2 linked regions of the Tribolium castaneum genome follow. The main gene of each other region encodes a partner of the protein of the gene in region 2 in a complex. Links are inferred from orthologs where the notes say so. Each region holds a gene or a part of one and is shown on either strand. Other genes may lie near its edges.

The links.
Region 1: Ltn1 (region 2) and Clbn share a complex: the UniProt entries of both Drosophila melanogaster proteins name them as parts of the ribosome quality control complex. The link is inferred for Tribolium castaneum from reciprocal best matches to the Drosophila melanogaster genes Ltn1 and Clbn.

What each region holds. Positions count from the first base shown.
Region 1 is NC_087396.1:12,784,947-12,789,345, reverse strand, and holds the start of Clbn (ribosome quality control complex subunit NEMF homolog), read right to left. Parts: upstream 2,881-4,399; 5' UTR 2,725-2,880; coding exon 2,669-2,724; intron 2,621-2,668; coding exon 2,112-2,620; intron 2,065-2,111; coding exon 1,901-2,064; intron 1,848-1,900; coding exon 1,467-1,847; intron 1,414-1,466; coding exon 1,075-1,413; intron 1,029-1,074; coding exon 760-1,028; intron 707-759; coding exon 266-706; intron 212-265; coding exon 51-211; intron 5-50; coding exon 1-4. Other genes in the region: Myo81F (myosin-I heavy chain), read left to right, coding at 3,261-3,288. UniProt on the Drosophila melanogaster protein: Key component of the ribosome quality control complex (RQC), a ribosome-associated complex that mediates the extraction of incompletely synthesized nascent chains from stalled ribosomes as well as their ubiquitin-mediated proteasomal degradation.
Region 2 is NC_087400.1:8,607,211-8,611,502, reverse strand, and holds the start of Ltn1 (E3 ubiquitin-protein ligase listerin), read right to left. Parts: upstream 2,881-4,292; 5' UTR 2,788-2,880; coding exon 2,740-2,787; intron 2,694-2,739; coding exon 2,496-2,693; intron 2,452-2,495; coding exon 2,185-2,451; intron 2,139-2,184; coding exon 1,677-2,138; intron 1-1,676. Other genes in the region: Hibch (3-hydroxyisobutyryl-CoA hydrolase, mitochondrial), read left to right, coding at 3,390-3,392, 3,446-4,292. UniProt on the Drosophila melanogaster protein: E3 ubiquitin-protein ligase component of the ribosome quality control complex (RQC), a ribosome-associated complex that mediates ubiquitination and extraction of incompletely synthesized nascent chains for proteasomal degradation.

The sequences.
Region 1 (4,399 bases), on a different chromosome or scaffold from region 2:
TCATCTGCAAATCAATTTTAAAATACGAATCATAAAAAACCAAAAACTACTTTTCGCATCATTTTTCGGTTGTTTGGTTTTCGATTCACTGGTATTTCTCGACCTTTGATTCGGTTTAACCACAACCGGTTTATTATCTCCTAAATACACAACAGTTTCGTTCTCATCCGTTTCATCATTTCTTATCACAGGCTCTGTCAAAATGTTGATTCTAAAAAGTCAAACGTTAAACCACTCGGCAAACGCCTCGGGTCACACTACAAACTTCGTTCCTTCAAAATGTTGGATCTTGATTTGAGTGTCGGGAAATTTTGAACTTTCCTCATCCTCGGAGGAGCTACTGTTTTCTTCATTTTCAATTTCCTTATCTGCTGCACTTTTCACTTCCTCCTTGTTTTCCTCATCGCTTTCATCAAGCACCTCAACTTCCACCTCATCCTTATTCTCGCTCTCAACAGTTTCTACAAAATCTTCTTCGCCTGGCGCTATGACTCTTCTTTCATCCTTGTGTTTCTCAATGCAACTTTCTTCCAATTTAAACAAAAAGCTTAGACCTAGGATCAAGTGTGATAGGGGGAGGAAATTTTTCTTGCCCCTAATCATGAAACTACCGGTACTTAAATACTCTCCGGTTGGAGCTGTCTTACTGACTTGCTCCCCCCAGACCCAGTAGGCGTTAGTTACGACTTTTGCGTCCCAAGCAACACTAAAAAATTATAAAAAAAATAGCAAAACTTTTAATAAGTTACACTGACTAACCTGTAACAAATAGCCATAGTTCCAGCCTCGTTCAAGGTTTTAGGCGGCACTGCTTGACCTGAAGGGTTTTTTATAACAACACTACTAGCACCATGGACATCAGCATGCACATAGACATCGGTCGATTTCATGTAGCGTTTGACAATCAACTCGTTTTGTTGCTGGTCTCGCCCAGCTATAACCAAGTAATTTTCCGAGCTTATAAACCAGAAGAATTTCTCAAACCAGTACACTTTACGAGCTTTATTAATATTTGTGATTGTTTGGACCTAAAAAAACAATTAACAATGTCACCCTGTGATAGCAATATCTTACGTCTTTCAAAGTTTGTTTGGTTTTCTTTTCAGCTGACTTGAACGCTTTGCTTTGCGATTCTATTGTTTTTTGTTGTTTTTTAGCCGCATTTCGCTTTTGGTCATAATATCGTCTCCCGTTAGCAAAAGCCGATAAATCCAAGTCCACATCTACCACCATGGGTGGTATTTTATCGTCATTATCTTCGTCGTCTGACTCACTATCATCTTCAGCGTAAGGGTCAGTAAGATACAGGCTAATGTGGTTAGTTTCCAGCTTTAATTCTTTGATACGCTGGGCGATTTCGTCGCCTTGTGAGGCAGCTTCTTTGATCAAATCGGCCAAGTCAGACCACGAAATCTATAAATAAATCAGTAAAAACTAATTTAACCAATGACTTAAGTTTAATTTACCTGAGTGGCTAAAGCCGTCTGGACCGCCAGAATAGCCTTATCAACAAGCTCCTGATTTCTCGTAATGAGCTCAGCTTTCTGTTTGTCAATTTCTTGTGTTTTTTCTAGAGCAAGTAATCTCTGACTGTGATCCTTCTTCACATTTTCTAATTTCTTCAGAGCTTCCCGTTCTTGTTGTAAAGCTTTCAATTCAAGTTTTTGGCTTTCCAAAGATGAGAAAAACTCATCAACGGCTGAGTTAAACGAGGGAAATTCTTTGGAAATTGACGATTTATGTTGTTCGTACAGAACTGGATGAAATTCCTGATTTGAGTAATAATATTCTTTCTCAGAGTTATCAGCACTCACTACCCTTTCTTCCTTTTTTTGAATTATGTAACCCTGATTATAAAAAAATATAAAAATTTGTATAAAAGACTGTGAGGCCATATTACCTTAAAACCCGTTTTTTTGGCCTCTGAGAAAAGATTTTCGGCTTCTTCAAGAGCGCAGAGAACCTTATCGACATCACTTTCGATATTAAATGTTTTTCCGATTTTGGTGCTATTTGAAAAACCTTGTTTAAGTAACACATGCTCGATGAGAGGAGGGCCATATTCTAGATATAAAAGTTAATAAAAAATCGTAAAAATCGCCAATTTTCACCTAAATTCGGAACGAGCACTTTTTTCAATTGATCTCCGTTTTTCGCAGCCTTTAAAAGTTGAACCAGCTCATCTCTTGTGATTAAACTGCTCTGCCTAGCCCTATCCTGAGGGTACTTTTCCCTGACCACAAACTTAAACCTGTCGCCTTCAGTATGCGGTCGCAGGACATTTAATATCGTGAATTCGAAATCAGTCAAGATGATATTGCCTTTATCGTACAGCTCTAGAATAACATGATACGCAGCTTCGCCTGAACCAAATTGGAAATCGACAATTCTGTCTGTGCCCAGTTGAGCCAAACTCTCCAAGCGTTTATTTTTCAAGTGCTTTCTTAATTTCATGCTGAACCCCGAAGGGGCGACATTTTTGGGCCATTCAAAGCCGGTTTCGTGAAACCTATTGCCTGATTCTAGCAGAATTACCGCTTTTTCTTCACTTCTTTGGAGTCTTATCAGGTAAGTCTTATTGTCAATATCGTAGACGTTGTTCACTCGCATTCCGACACATCTGCAAATTAGAAATAAGTGCCAAAAGAACAATCTTACAGAAAAATACTTTTGGAGTTCTGTGACGGTGCAAATAATATCGAAGGTGTTGAACCGAGTTTTCATTTTGAAAACGGCAAGTTTTTATTTTTTGTTGCTTCCAGCGGAACAAAATTTGACCACGTTGTGTAATTTTATTACACCTGGTGCACAAAAAAATAAAAACACTCAGCTGGGTTTGACGTCTGGCAGGTGGGACAACGCTAGCGCCACCCGTCACTGGGTAAAGTTATGCCCACTTGTGTAATTTGTTATGTAACACGAATTTGGGACCAGTATTATTATTAAAAAACGATTTGAAGAAGTGCCAAACTGTTTTAGTTTTTATTGTAACATTTATTCCGGTTATTTGAGGGCAGGTTCCTGGTTTATCGACTCGTTTTCGTTTGTTTGGCGCTGTGGTCGCAGCACCCCTAGCTTTCGCTTGCTTGATTTTTTCATTTCCAGTTCCAGTTCTCGTCAGACCCTCGAGTTGTTAGTTCTGTTCTGTTTAGTTGAGTGTTGGTGTGTGCAAGCTCTCTTTAAAATGTTCGTGTATTAATTTTTTCGTGATTATTTTCTCTACCGAAATGAATGTTTCCCCGCTGTAAGGATTAGTAACAATGCAGGAATTAAATTTTACTTCAACGAGTAAGTGGAATTTTCGCAACCCCTGTATTTTTAAGGGCGGCATTGACATTTGCTGAATTAACACGGGGTTTTTTGCACTCCTATTAATTCAAAGAACAGTTTTTTTGAAAAGAAACGGTAATTTTTTTCAAAATTATATTTTTTAAGTGAAAAAAATAATAAATTGCGATGGGAGTGGGTGCAGTTGTTTTTCGTTTTTTATAGCACACACCTAGGGATGGGGTTTGTTTAGTGGTTTACATTGCCCTCGAGATTTGGCACACATTTTGCCCCATTTAGGTAAATGGGGGAGGGTTTAGAAAAATTATGATTGTCGATTTATGCATGCGAACACAGTGGGGTTCAAAAGGGCGTATTCGTCACCAAAAAGATAAAAATTATGCTCGCAATTACAGAACGAAATAATAAAATTCAATAGCTATCCAGACAATATTTTTGTATTAGAAATAAAATATGTCAATCTGCGTGATTCAAAAACCAGGTTTTTAAAAAACAATTATCTCTAGAAGGGCAATTTTCATCCCTTTCCCCGACTGGATTATTTGTTTAATCCCCTTTGTAGCCAAACTTTTAAATTTTGATTCATTCGTTTTTTATGATCTCGGCTCAGTTTATTGTTTACATTATCTTGGGAATTAAAATTTTCATTGTGAGGAAAAATCGCAATGAAATTTTTTCTGGCAACACGGAAATTATGAATGATTAAAAAAACTGGTGCTTAAGTGGGGTTGGTAGAAAGGAAAATTTACTTCTGTCTCACAGCTGCTAAAACATACGATAAATAAAATTTATTTCCTCAGTTGGCCACGGACCAAGATTGATTCGTACAAATTTTATTTCTTTCCGAACATCAAGTTAAAAATAGCTTAGAATTGATTATACCTTTGGTATAAATAGGTTTTTCAAGAAGTCGAACTGCTATTTCGTTGGTTTTTGCTTTATGTATATTAAAAGATTTCATTGACCTCACATATTATAATAAGACTTTTCGAGATTTCGACTGAATGTGACCTACGTTTTGGAATTAAATATTTATGTTTGGTGTTATTAAAAAAATGCAAAATAAAAAAATTCAATACCGAATATGAACTGAAACCCATCATTACTTGAT
Region 2 (4,292 bases):
ATGCAAAATAAAATTAATAAAAGCACAGTGAAAATATTAAATGCATAGTAAAAGTAATAAATGCACAGTGAAAATATTAAATGCATAGTAAAAATAGTAAATGCTTAGTAAACATAATAAATGCACATTAAAAATGATAGATGCAAAGTTAAAATAATAAATGCACAGTAAAAATAATAGATGCAAAGTAAAAATAATAAAAGTGATAGATGCAAAGTAAAAATAATAAATGCACAGTAAAATAATAAATGAACAGTAAAAACAGTAAATGCACAGTAAAAATAATAAATGCACAGTAAAAATAGTAAATGCATAATAAAAGTAGTAAATGCACAGTAAAAATAATAAATACACAGTTAAAATAATAAATGCACAGTAAAAATGATAGATGCAAAATAAAATTAATAAAAGCACAGTGAAAATATTAAATGCATAGTAAAAGTAATAAATGCACAGTAAAAATAATAAATGCACAGAAAAAATAATAGATGCAAAGTAAAAATAATAAAAGTGATATATGCAAAGTAAAAATGATAAATGCACAGTAAAAATGATAGATGCAAAATAAAAATAATAAAAGCACAGTGAAAATATTAAATGCATAGTAAAAGTAGTAAATGCACAGTAAACATAATAATTGCACAGTGAAAATAATAAATGCACAGTAAAAATAATAGATGCAAAGTAAAAATGATAAATGCACAGTAAAAATGATAGATGCAAAGTTAAAATAGTAAATGCACAGTAAAAATGATAGATGCAAAGTAAAAATAAATGCACAGTAAAAATGATAGATGCAAAATTAAAATAATAAATGATTAGTAAAAATGATAGATGCAAAGTTAAAATAATAAATGCACAGTAAAAATGATAGATGCAAAGTTAAAATAATAAATGCACAGTAAAAATGATAGATGCACAGTAAAAGTAGTAAATGCACAGTAAACATAATAAATGCACAGTAGAAGTGATAGATGCAAAGTAAAAATAATAAATGCACAGTAAAAATGATAGATGCAAAATTAAAATAATAAATGCACAGTAAAAATGATAGATGCAAAGTTAAAATAATAAATGCACAGTAAAAATGATAGATGCACAGTAAAAGTAGTAAATGCACAGTATACATAATAAATGCACAGTTGAAGTGATAGATGCAAAGTAAAAATAATAAATGCACAGTAAAAATGATAGATGCAAAATTAAAATAATAAATGCACAGTAAAAGTGATGCACAGTAAAAATAATAATTGCAGAGTAAAATAATAAATGAACAGTAAAAACAGTAAATGCACAGTAAAAATGATAAATGCGGAGTAAAAATAATAAATGCACAGTAAGTAATGGCATCTCAAAACTAAAGAGTGTAGAATTTCACATTTCGAGATTTACATTTTCGAGTTTAAACGTTGGAGGGGTATGTTTGCTCTTAGGTCGCTAGGGCGAAGCCCCAGTCTGCAAGCTAGCTACTGAGCGTTTATTATTTAAACTGTGCAAACTGAAACTAGATACTGTGCATATACTATTTTTTTACTGCAAAAATGAATTAAATACTGATTATTTATTATTTTTTACTGATCAAAATCGATTTATTACTGATCACTTTATTACTACCCAATTCAAATTATTACATTTTTTAAGTCCAGAAAAAAAGGAAGCTGTGATAAAATCCATACCTGTCCTAAATCCATAATGAGCAAAGCCGCATCCCACACAGAACCCACAACAGGGGGTTCACTCTCATCCAAATTATTGAAAACAACCGGAACAAAATTCTTATGTTCCTCTTCTAACAAAAATGGGGCTTTTTGGTACAAAATCGCAACGGCTTTGAACCAAGTGGCCCGAATTTGTGCCGTTTTATGCGTTGCCAATTTAAGAAACCTTGAATTACTTATAATTTGCTTGTTCAAATCCTCACTTTTCTCGATCTGTTCCTGAGTCAGTGTATTCAAATAGAGGCAGTAGCCTTGAAGACTCGAAATAATGATTCTCTCAAATTTCGCTTCAGCATCCTCATTTGTGCCATGTTTAGGATTAGATTCAATTTTCGAAGTCAAATTATCGTAAATGTACGTCAAGATTTCCTTTTGGCAAAACACCACACAATCCTGGACCTTGTTTTGCGGAAACGCGGCCTAAAATTTAATTCAGAAATTTGAAAAGAAATTGAGAAATCATTACGTTGAAAGCTTTAGACGCGGCCGTGGCCGCCGGCGGATAATTATCATACTGTGAGGTGAACCAGGGCCCTATCAACTGTTTCAAAAAGGGGGCTATCATTTTTTTATCCTTCAAAATGATTTGATGGTGGGCGTTGTGCACCGCCTCCCGCACCCTATGATCCGTGTCGGTGGCCAAAATGCTATACAGCGTGGCCCAAAACGCCAAGATCGTCTTAACAGCCTCCGCCTCGGAACTCGCGATTAGGTCGCAAAACTCCTGCAAGGCCTAAACCACTCAATTAAGCACCCAAATCTCACTCTTTACGCTACTTTTAATTTAGTGGTGCAGTCCTTTTTGTTCATTTTCTTGAATACGATCTGAAACGCTGGCGACACGGACGAGTCAAATTCCTCCGTTTTGAGCAAAGACAGGGTCGGGGGCACAAACCGGATCTCCTTAACTGCGGCGAATTGGGGCACTTGTGAGGAGGACGCCAGCAACTCGGCGCTGCGCCCACTGCTGGAAGGCTGCAGGACCAGGTGTCATTCGAGAGGGGGCTGCTGGGGCACTTACCCTCGCATTGTTCTTGATTCTTTGGGCGGGCTTGTGCTTGCCGCCCATTGTAACAGCCCAAAGCGTCCACTAGATTGTTTACTTCAGCACTAATTATAAAACTTTAAAAGTGGAAGCTGTCAGCGACGTGACTTAACCTCAACTGTCAGTTGGCGTATTGTTGGTTGCCTAAACCGTTTTTTTTTTTTAATATTATCGCTAATCCGTACTACAATTGCAAAAATTACTTAAATTAGGTGAGTGAATGTTGGTTTTTATCATTGCAATTGAAGCGAAGAGCTGACAACGCGGAAATTGTGCTTTTTGTGAGGTGCCTAATATACATAGTGGCCCAATTACAACTTGTCTCAAAGGTAGAAAATAACAGGTTTTGTCGCAATACTTTTGTCCTCACACCTGTGATTTGTTGTTTCCCTGGCGAATTGTGTTTGAAAATAATTTTCAAAATTTGACAGGTTTTTAAATTTTAAAATTCGAGCCAAGTCGCTTCGTTATCAGTAATTTCGCCACAGTTTGGCTTAATAATAACATGTGATTCCCTAATCAGTGTCTTCTTGCCTATAAATTGCTTGAAAATTGTAATTTTGTGCTTTGTGAACTTTGACCTTGTCTGGTGTTTTTGAAAACCTTCAGTGTAGCACCAATACAAAATGGTAATGGGACTCCAGCACTGTATAATTATCGCTCCTTGACCCCTTACTTGCAGTTGCAGAAAAGCTTCATCTTAACCTCAAACTTGTGCAAGAACTTGTTCGTCTTGAGCCCCACCGTCTTGCGAAAAATGTCAAGTGTTGCCGATGACGTAATCTTTGATAACGTGGGAGATAAAGGGGTGATAACTTTGAATCGACCCAAGGCCCTTAATGCGTTAAACCTCTCAATGGTAAATAAATTGTACCCCACTTTGGTGCAATGGGAGAGCGAGAAGAGCCTTGTCATTATCAAGGGGGCTGGGGGCAAGGCCTTTTGCGCCGGGGGCGACGTTAAATCCATAGCCTTGGCTGGTATGAAGGGGGAAAAACTGGGCCATGCCTTTTTTAAACAAGAGTACAAAACTGACGGACTTATTGGTACTTACAAAGTCCCGTACATTGCATTTATTGACGGGATTGTCATGGGGGGCGGCGTGGGGCTCTCAGTCCATGGCCCTTATCGCGTGGCCACCGAACGCTCGGTCTTTGCGATGCCGGAGACGCAAATCGGGCTCTTCCCCGACGTTGGGGGCTCCTACTTCCTCCCGCGGTTAAGGGGCAAACTGGGGCTGTTTCTAGCCCTGACGGGGTACCGCCTCAAAGGGGTCGACCTCCTCAAAGCTGGGATAGCGACCCATTACGTCGATAGTCAATGTTTGGAGGCTTTGGAGGGCGATTTATTGAAATGTGGGGACAGTAGGAGCATTGATAGCACTTTGAGTAAATACAGCACTAAAGACAATAGCGAGTTTAGCCTTGAACCCATGATGAAGCAAATTAATAATTGCTTTTCGGCGGGTTCTGTTGAGGAGATTATCGGGAGGTTGGAGAAGGACGGGTCGCAGTTTGCCTTGGAAATGG